Macaca mulatta: one gene and its partner. The protein of the gene in region 2 purifies or fractionates together with the protein of the main gene of each other region. This does not show direct contact. Links are inferred from orthologs where the notes say so. Each region holds a gene or a part of one and is shown on either strand. Other genes may lie near its edges.

Region 1 (4,104 bases), on a different chromosome or scaffold from region 2:
CAACCTACAAGTCTGTAAATAGCTCCCTCATTGGGACTAGCTGTGTAGTAAGGTTGTCAGAGGTCTTAAGGAGCTATAGAGTGGGACATGTTAACTGTAGGTAAAACCAGTAACTGTCAATTAATGTTACTTGAGAGACAGTAGACACCACCAAGACAACCACCACCCCCAAAAAAGAGATCACCCATCAATGCCTAGAATTCTCTCACCAGTGCCTCACTCCTTTGGTTTAGGCATTTGTATTTCCTACCAATGCTCTTTAGAGGGATACCAAGTACCAAAAGTTGGGGGGTTTTTTGTTTTTGTTTGAGACAGGGTCTTACTGTGTCACTCGGGTTGGAGTGCAGTGGCATGATCTTTGCTCACTGCAACCTCCACCTCCAGGGCTCAAGCGATTCTCATGTCTCAGCTTCCTGAGTAGCTGGGATTACAGGCACCTACCACCATACCTGGCTAATTTTTGTATTTTTAGTAGAGACTGGGTTTCACCATGTTGGCCAGGCTGATCTCAAACTCCTGACCTCAGGTGATCAACCCGCCTTGGCCTCCCAAAGCTTTGGGATTACAGGCATGAGCCCTCAAAAATGTTTTCTATTATGAGTTTGCCAAACTATTTTGTGACAGGAGAACTGGACAATACAAGTGAGAGTACTAGGTAACCTGATAAGAAAAAGGCTGGGCTCGTTGGCTCATGCCTGTAATCCAAATACTTTGGGAGGCCAAGACAGGCAGATCACCTGAGGTCAGGAGTTTGAGACTAGCCTGGCCAAAATGGTGAAACCCCATCTCTACTGAAAATATGAAAATTAGTAGGCGTGATGGCAGGTGCCTGTAGTCCCAGCTACTCTGGAGCACGAGAATTGCTTGAACCCAGGTGGCGGAGGGTACAGTGAACCAAGATCACACCACTGCACTCCAGCCTGGGCAACAGAGGGAGACACCGTCTCAAAAACAATAAAGAAAAGAAAAGAAAAAGAAAACACAGGAGAGAAGGGAGGAAGGATTAAACTGTAGAGGGCTGTCGCCACCCCTGGGAAATGTAGTTAACTAGGACCACCTGAATCTCCTGATCACCCAGACAATGGGTGTTCAACAAAAGCTTAAAATCTTTCAAGACAATATCACAGCCTCTTATAACAGTTCATCTTGAGAGAGGACACAATGTGTCAAAAGGGAGAGTGCTAAGATCTAATTCTCCTTCAACAGTCTAGTGACCATGGGCAAGTTTCTTGGTCTAAGCCTTAGTTTCTTAAATTAAAAAATACTCTAAGGTATTAGAGTCTCTAATGGCTCTTCTAACTATAAAAAGTTATATATTTCCATAAATCTTCCATCATGTTTGTAATGCTTTTTTTTTTTTTTTCTGAGACAAGGTCTCACTCTGTTGCCCAGGCTAAGTGGAGTGGCCCGATCGCGTCTCACTGCAACCTCCATCTGCTGAGCTCAAGCCATCTTCCCATCTGAGCCTCTGGGACCCATGTGGTCCTGGGAGTAGCTGGGACCACAGGTGCACGCCACCACACCGGCTAATATAGTGCTAATTTTTACAGATCAGTTTAACTTTTCTGTTTTCTTTTTAGTGAAATTCCTCAACTTCCTCTATATATCAAAATTTCTTTCCCCATTTTTCTCAATGCCCTTGATCCCACTTTCCCCATGCCCTTTTGTCACTTGCATTCCATCATTTCCTCACATGTTCAATTTCTCACTCTATTGGCTCCTTCCCCCGACATGCTCTTCTTGCCCAACCTAAAACTGCCACTTTGTGACTCCTTGGGTTAATGTCTCTTTTCTCTCCTTCTCAAAATTAACCTCTTCCTCCATTCACGTTCCAAGGTCTTATCTTTTTAGCCAGTACTTTTTTTTTTTTTTTGCCTGTAAAGATGCCAAGGCCTGGCACGGTGACTCAAGCCTGTAATCCCAGCACTTTGGGAGGCCGAGGCAGGTGGATCACGAGGTCAGGAGATCGAGACCATCCTGGCTAACACGGTGAAACTCGTCTCTACTGAACATTAAAACAAACAAACAAAAAATTAGCTGGGCGTGGCGCTACGCGCCTGTAGTCCCACCTACTCGAGAGACTGAGGCAGGAGAATCGCTAGAACCCGGGAGGCAGAGGTTGCAGTGAGCAGAGACCGCGCCACTGCACTCCAGCCTGGGCGACAGAGCGAGACTGTCTCAAAAAATAAATAAATAAAAATAAAATAAAAACACGAAAAAAGAGCTTCTAGCGCTCTTCTCTACCCAGTACCTCCCGCCCCAAATACGATTCAATACTTCCCACAAACGAGCGTTGTTGGTAATGCTTGTTCCGCAAGGGGACGTAACGATCCGTATTTCCTATCCCCGCCTTACACTACAGTCTGGAGGCAGTATCACTGGATGAAAAAAAGGCCAGTAACAGCAGTCTAATCTCCCACAAACGGGCCAGGGACAAATTTACCCTACAGACACTCAAAACACAGTCTACCCTAAACACCATCTACTCAGATCCCCGTTTTCCAAGCACCCACGGCAGAACAGTCGCGGCTGTTGCCTGGAAGGGGATCTATTACTATAGTACAGACCCCAACCAGGACCCTCACCACTCCCACAGCCAGCAGCACCAACTCACAGCCATATTCTGTTGCCATCGTGGGCACCCCCTTGATGACGCCACAGCCGCCCCCACGCACCTGATTGACCATCCCCGAAGCTATGAGGTGGCCTAGCACTAGCCCAGCGCCGTTAGGCGCGGACGCCGGGTCCCAGGGGTTGGCAGCCGCCATGGCTCGGACTCACCTCCCACGAAGGCGCCAAGAGTGAGTTGGAACGCAGGGCGAACGCACGGCGCGACTCGATGACGTCACAGGGCGGTCCCGCCCGGGGCTAAGCCGGGGAGCGCATCCCGGCTACTGCGGGTCCTGGGTCTTCACCTGCGGAGCCATCCGGCAGCTGAGCGGTGGGAGGCGAGTCCGGGGTTCCTTGATCTTCCGTAGGCTCCCAGAGGCGCCTGGCCTCCGCAGAGCTGCAAAGGCGGCAGGGCTTGGTGGTCGGGCTGTCTGTTCTTCCGTCTCTTCCTTGCCACTCTTGGGTCGGGCCCCAGGAGCCAGGGATCGGCGGGAGATGAGAGCTGGGGCGGGAGGCCGACCGAGTGGACTGGGCGGTGACAGCTGCGCTTCCTTCCCGCAGGGACCTGAGCCGCGGTGCTAGGATGGGAAACAGTGCGCTCCGCGCTCATGTGGAAACGGCGCAGAAAACTGGTGTCTTTCAGCTTAAGGACCGAGGGCTGACCGAGGTGAGAATGGGAGGGACACGACCGGGAAACTTAAAGGGAGAGGGACGGCGGGGGCAGCGAACTTAGTCGGTGCGGGATTCTCCACGCTGTGAACTCCTTTCTCCAGTTCCCCGCAGACTTGCAGAAGCTCACGAGCAATCTCAGGACCATCGACTTGTCCAACAACAAGATCGAGAGCCTACCGCCTTTGCTGATAGGAAAGTTCACTCTGCTGAAGAGCCTCTCCCTGAACAACAACAAACTGAGTATGACTCTTGCCTGGGAGGCTTTTGCTAGTGATAAGCTGTTACCAGGGGTGGTTTTCTCTTACAAGCTGATTTTTGTTTTCGTTATGAAACCGTGCAGGAGGGCTCAAGTTGCAGAATGCCGGAATCCTTGAAGCCTTCTTTCTACTTGTAATTACATCAAAAATAAGCCTCCTTGGGTGTTATAATGATTGTTACTGGGTTAATTTGGACTTGAAAGGGAAGAACATTTTGGGGATGTAATGTAAACAAAGCTACCTAACTTGGAATGGGGGATGGATGGGAAGGGGAGGATCTTCCAAATATCACAAAATTGCTGTCAAATTGTGCCTTGGACCCCTTTACAAAAGGAGTCCATTATACACACAAATGCTCACCTGCATTTTGATGGCACCCTCACCTTCTAAAGACTATGTTGGTAAAATGCAATACCTAAAAATGGCACATGTGGGTATTTTACATATATTAACAAGAGGCGAAGCAGGCTGCCATATAGTCTTTAGAAACTTCATCAAAGTTGTTTTCAGCTCTATCAGATTCAGGTTTTAAAAACATTTTCTTTGCCAGCTGTTCTGCCTGATG
Region 2 (4,013 bases):
CCCAGAGCTGGTGTTCTAGGTATACAGCTGTTATTCTAGGCACTGGAAATATAAGTGACTGAGATGACAAAACCTCCTGGCCTCATGGACCTTCCATCCTAATGGTGGGAGTTGAGAATTCTGGAACCCAAGAAGGGATCGGGGCAGAGCCCTGAGGTCTCTAAGAGAATGTCTGGCTGCCCAGCCTGGTGAGGGTGGGTCCCTGAGGCCCACCTCTCCATGTCCTGCAGGCGCCTCAGTTGATTCTGCAGCCGCTGCATGGGATCTCGGAGCCTATGCTGCTGTCTTCGCATGGCCCCAGCTTGGGCCCGGAGGAGGAGAGCTCGACGCTGGGTGTCTTGAGTGTGCTGAAGTGCCTGCTCCATGGCTGTGTCTGTAGGAGGAACAAGGGTGGCCATCAGCACCTTTCCCGGCCCACATTCTGTTGCCCATTTTCTGGCCCCATGGCTCACCCTGAGCCTCAGTGTCTCGCTCCATCAGCTCCAGGCTCTGGTCGAGCTCCTGGATTTCTGCCCGCAGGCGGGTCACGGTAGCTTCCAGCTCTAACTTCCGACGGACCTGGGAGGATCAGATTCAGGGTGAGATGCACGGTCTGATCGGGGTTCAGCCTGGCCTGTCTTTTGGGGGTACCAGGCTCCTCAACTGGTGGCAAAGGGTTTTTGCTCAGCAGTTTCTGTGTCTGATGCAGAAGCATTAGGGTACTGGCTCCCTCCTTCCTCTTAGGATTGTCTTACCCATACTTCCAGCCTGTTTCCTGTTTCCTGTCTGTGCTGATGACAACCACATCTTTGTCCCAGTATTGATCTCTTCCTGGAGCCCTGCACCTAGAAGTCCCAAGGACTCCTGGAAGCCTCCCCTCAGGTGTCATATGAGCCTCTTACACCCACTAGGTCCTACACTGGCCTCAGCATCTCTCCCAAACCTGTCCCTCCATCTCTTCTCAGCAGCTTTGATGCCACATATCCATGTCCCACCTCTCTGCCCCCAGCTAATACTATCTCTTTATATTTTTTTCTTTTTTTGGACAGAGTCTCACTGCATTGCCCAGGCTGGAGTGCAGTGGAGCGATCTCGGCTCACTGCAACCTCTGCCTCCCAGGTTCAAGCAATTCTCCTGCCTCAGCCTCCCAAGTAGACAGGATTACAGGTGTGCACCACCACACCTGGCTAATTTTTTATTTTTAGTAGAGATGGGGCTTCACCATGTTGGACAGGCTGGTCTCGAACTCCTGACCTCAGGTGATCCGCCCGCTTCAGCCTCCCAAAGTGCTGGGATAACAGGTGTAAGCCACTGCTCCCAGCTGAGCTAATGCTATCTCCACTGGACTTTAAGCCCTATGAGGATGGGGATCAGGGCTATCTTGTGACCCATTGTCCCCAGCATCACCCAGCACCTGGTTGGGCTTAGAACAGGAGATCTACAAATCATTTTTCGGATGAAAGAGAATCTTGCAGCATATGCTTCTTACCTGTGGACTGTCCTGGTGGCCATACCTAGGAAAATGAGACCAGAGTCAGTGGATGAGTGGGGCTTCCAGTGGGGAGGGCAACAGGTGTGATGCTGTGGTGAGGACAGGGCTAGATGGGAGTGGGGATAGGAAGGGATAGCTTTAAGAAGCAGTTACCAGAGTAGGTTTCCTCGGATCTTCTTGACAGTCCTACAGTGCAGAGGCAAAAGGAGGAGTTACTACGGACCTCACCTGTGCCCCCTCCCCTACTCTAGCCCAACTTACCTCTGACTGTGCACATGCTGCAAGATGTAGGCCCAGATGTCAGCCCCCTGGCCCAGACACAGCCTGTGGGGACAGTGTGTAAGCGTATGCCTGGGGCAGCACACAGGGTGTGGGATCCTCATTCCCAAGGTGATGGTGGTAGGGAGTCTTTATTAGGGAGTTCTCACTTCTTGGGGAGGGAAGGCCCAAACTTTTTTTTTTTTTTTTTTTTTTTTTTTTAGGGACAGAGTCTCGCTCTGTTGCCCAGGCTGGAGTGCAGTGGTATGATCATAGCTCCCTGCAGCCTTAACCTTCTGGGCTCATGCGATCCTCTCACCTCAGCCTCCAGAACAGCTAGGACTACAGGCAGGCACCACTACACCCGGCTAATTGGTAAAACATTTTTTTTGTAGGGACTGGATCTTTGCACTAAGTATGGTGGTATTCTCATTCCCCGGGAAGGCGGGGGTGGGGGATGGGGGTGGGGGTGGGGGTGAGTGGCGAGGGCTCCCTTTCTCCTGGGAGAGGGTTATCCAGTCACATTCAGAGGTGGAGGTGGGGGATGTACTGCCAGGAAGTGCCATCTCATGGCCAGATGTGGGGCATCACTCCTACAGATTCAATCCCGATGGGGTGGCCACGGCTAACTCCTGAGTGTCCTTTTTGGTTGGGGTAAGGGTGGGAAGGGGAGGTGCTGCGGGGACAGCCTCACCCTGGAGATCCTATTTCCATACGGAGAGGGATCTTCACTAACTCGTGGAGGATTCTCACCAGTGCTAGGGACCTCACTCTGGGAAGCCTCCCAGGGCAGGGAGCCCTCAGTAACTCGGGTCACTTTCGATGGGGAATGGGGGGTCGAGTCCTCAATGAGGGGTGGAGCTCTCACTCCCGGAGACTCAATCTCCAGGGTGGGGAGTCCTCACTCCAGGAGCGGTCCTCACCTGCGCAGCGTCGATTCCCGGGCTCGGGCTGCCACGGGCACCCCCATCTCTTCGGCCGCCCAGCAACTCAGTTCCCGCGCTTCCCGCGCTAGCTCCATGACAGCGCCACAGCTGCGCCACCGCCTCCCTCAGCCTCTTCAAGTGTGGCGCCCGCCTCTGACGCCACGGACGCGCCAACAGGACGTCATCGGTTGCCGGGCAGACAGCGGGCTCCGGCGCTGCGTAGTAACCTTAGCGTGGTAAGGTTGGGTCTTGCAGCGCTCACTCTTCCCAGGTGGGTCTCCTTGAGTGGAAATGAAAAGGGCGTGGAGAGACGGCGGCCCCGCCCGCCTTCCCTCGTTCTCTCGCTCACTACCAGCTAACCCGAAAGAGGCAAAACAGTCCTTGATGCTTCCCTTTATTTTCTTCTTCTTCTTTTAATTAAACATTTTTATTTTAGGCCGGGCTCGGTGGCTCAAGCCTGTAATCCCAGCACTTTGGGAGGCCAAGACGGGCGGATCACAAGGTCAGGAGATCGAGACCATCCTGGCTAACCCGGTGAAACCCCGTCTCTACTAAAAAATACAAAAAACTAGCCGGGCGAGGTGGCGGGCGCCTGTAGTCCCAGCTACTCGGGAGGCTGAGGCAGGAGAATGGCGTGAACCCGGGAGGCGGAGCTTGCAGTGAGCTGAGATCGGGCCACTGCACTCCAGCCTGGGCGGCAGAGCGAGACTCTGTCTCAAAAAAACAAAAACAAAAAAATAACATTTTTATTTTAATAGAGATGGGATCTCACTATGTTGCCCAGGCTAGTCTCAGCTTCTGGGCTGTTGAACTCCTGGGCTAAAGCGATCCTCCCGCCTCAGCCTCCCAAAGTGTTGGGATTACAGGTGTGAGCCACCGTGCCCGCCCCCTTTATTTTGTTGACAAAATGGGACTTGCAGCCTAGGAGGACTGGAACCAGGGAATGAGATCCTGGACTTACTGCTCTTTGATTTCAGAAACAGGTGTCCCATGTCTGAGTGGAGGGTAGGGGCAGATAGTATGACCCTAACATTTCCCTGGCATGCATTTTCCCATTCATTTGTGCTTACCATTCCATAAACTCAGGGAGCTGACTCTGTGCTGGGTGATGCTGGGGACAACATGGTGACCACGACAGCCCTGGTCCCTATTGTACAGAGCTCACAGTTCAGTGGGGAGACAGACACACCACCAGGTAGGGATGGTAAAAATAAGCAGCAGGAGTGGGTCAGTTTGGGACACAGCAGGTGTGAGAGGTCTGCGGGATGCCCAGAAAGCAGTAGGGCTGGAGTTCTGGCGAGCCTGCTGGGCCCCGTCAGAGAGCTGAATGCGCTGTGGGCATCAGTATGAGACCAGAG

What was found. Proteins that work in one complex are often made in the same cells at the same time.
Region 1: the proteins of HAUS5 (region 2) and HAUS2 purify together in Homo sapiens (affinity purification with mass spectrometry; 5 studies listed by BioGRID and IntAct, with this or other methods). This does not show direct contact. The link is inferred for Macaca mulatta from reciprocal best matches to the Homo sapiens genes HAUS5 and HAUS2.

Annotation. Positions count from the first base shown.
Region 1 is NC_133412.1:19,954,402-19,958,505, reverse strand, and holds the start of HAUS2 (HAUS augmin-like complex subunit 2), read right to left. Parts: upstream 2,804-4,104; 5' UTR 2,769-2,803; coding exon 2,676-2,768; exon of another isoform or gene 2,621-2,675; coding exon of another isoform or gene 2,615-2,620; intron 1-2,614. Other genes in the region: LRRC57 (leucine-rich repeat-containing protein 57), read left to right, coding at 3,194-3,277, 3,384-3,522, 4,090-4,104.
Region 2 is NC_133424.1:46,872,890-46,876,902, reverse strand, and holds the start of HAUS5 (HAUS augmin-like complex subunit 5), read right to left. Parts: upstream 2,832-4,013; 5' UTR 2,751-2,831; coding exon 2,653-2,750; intron 1,796-2,652; coding exon 1,733-1,795; exon of another isoform or gene 1,688-1,732; intron 1,658-1,687; coding exon 1,625-1,657; exon of another isoform or gene 1,609-1,624; intron 1,494-1,608; coding exon 1,469-1,493; intron 609-1,468; exon of another isoform or gene 559-608; coding exon 453-558; intron 374-452; coding exon 214-373; intron 1-213.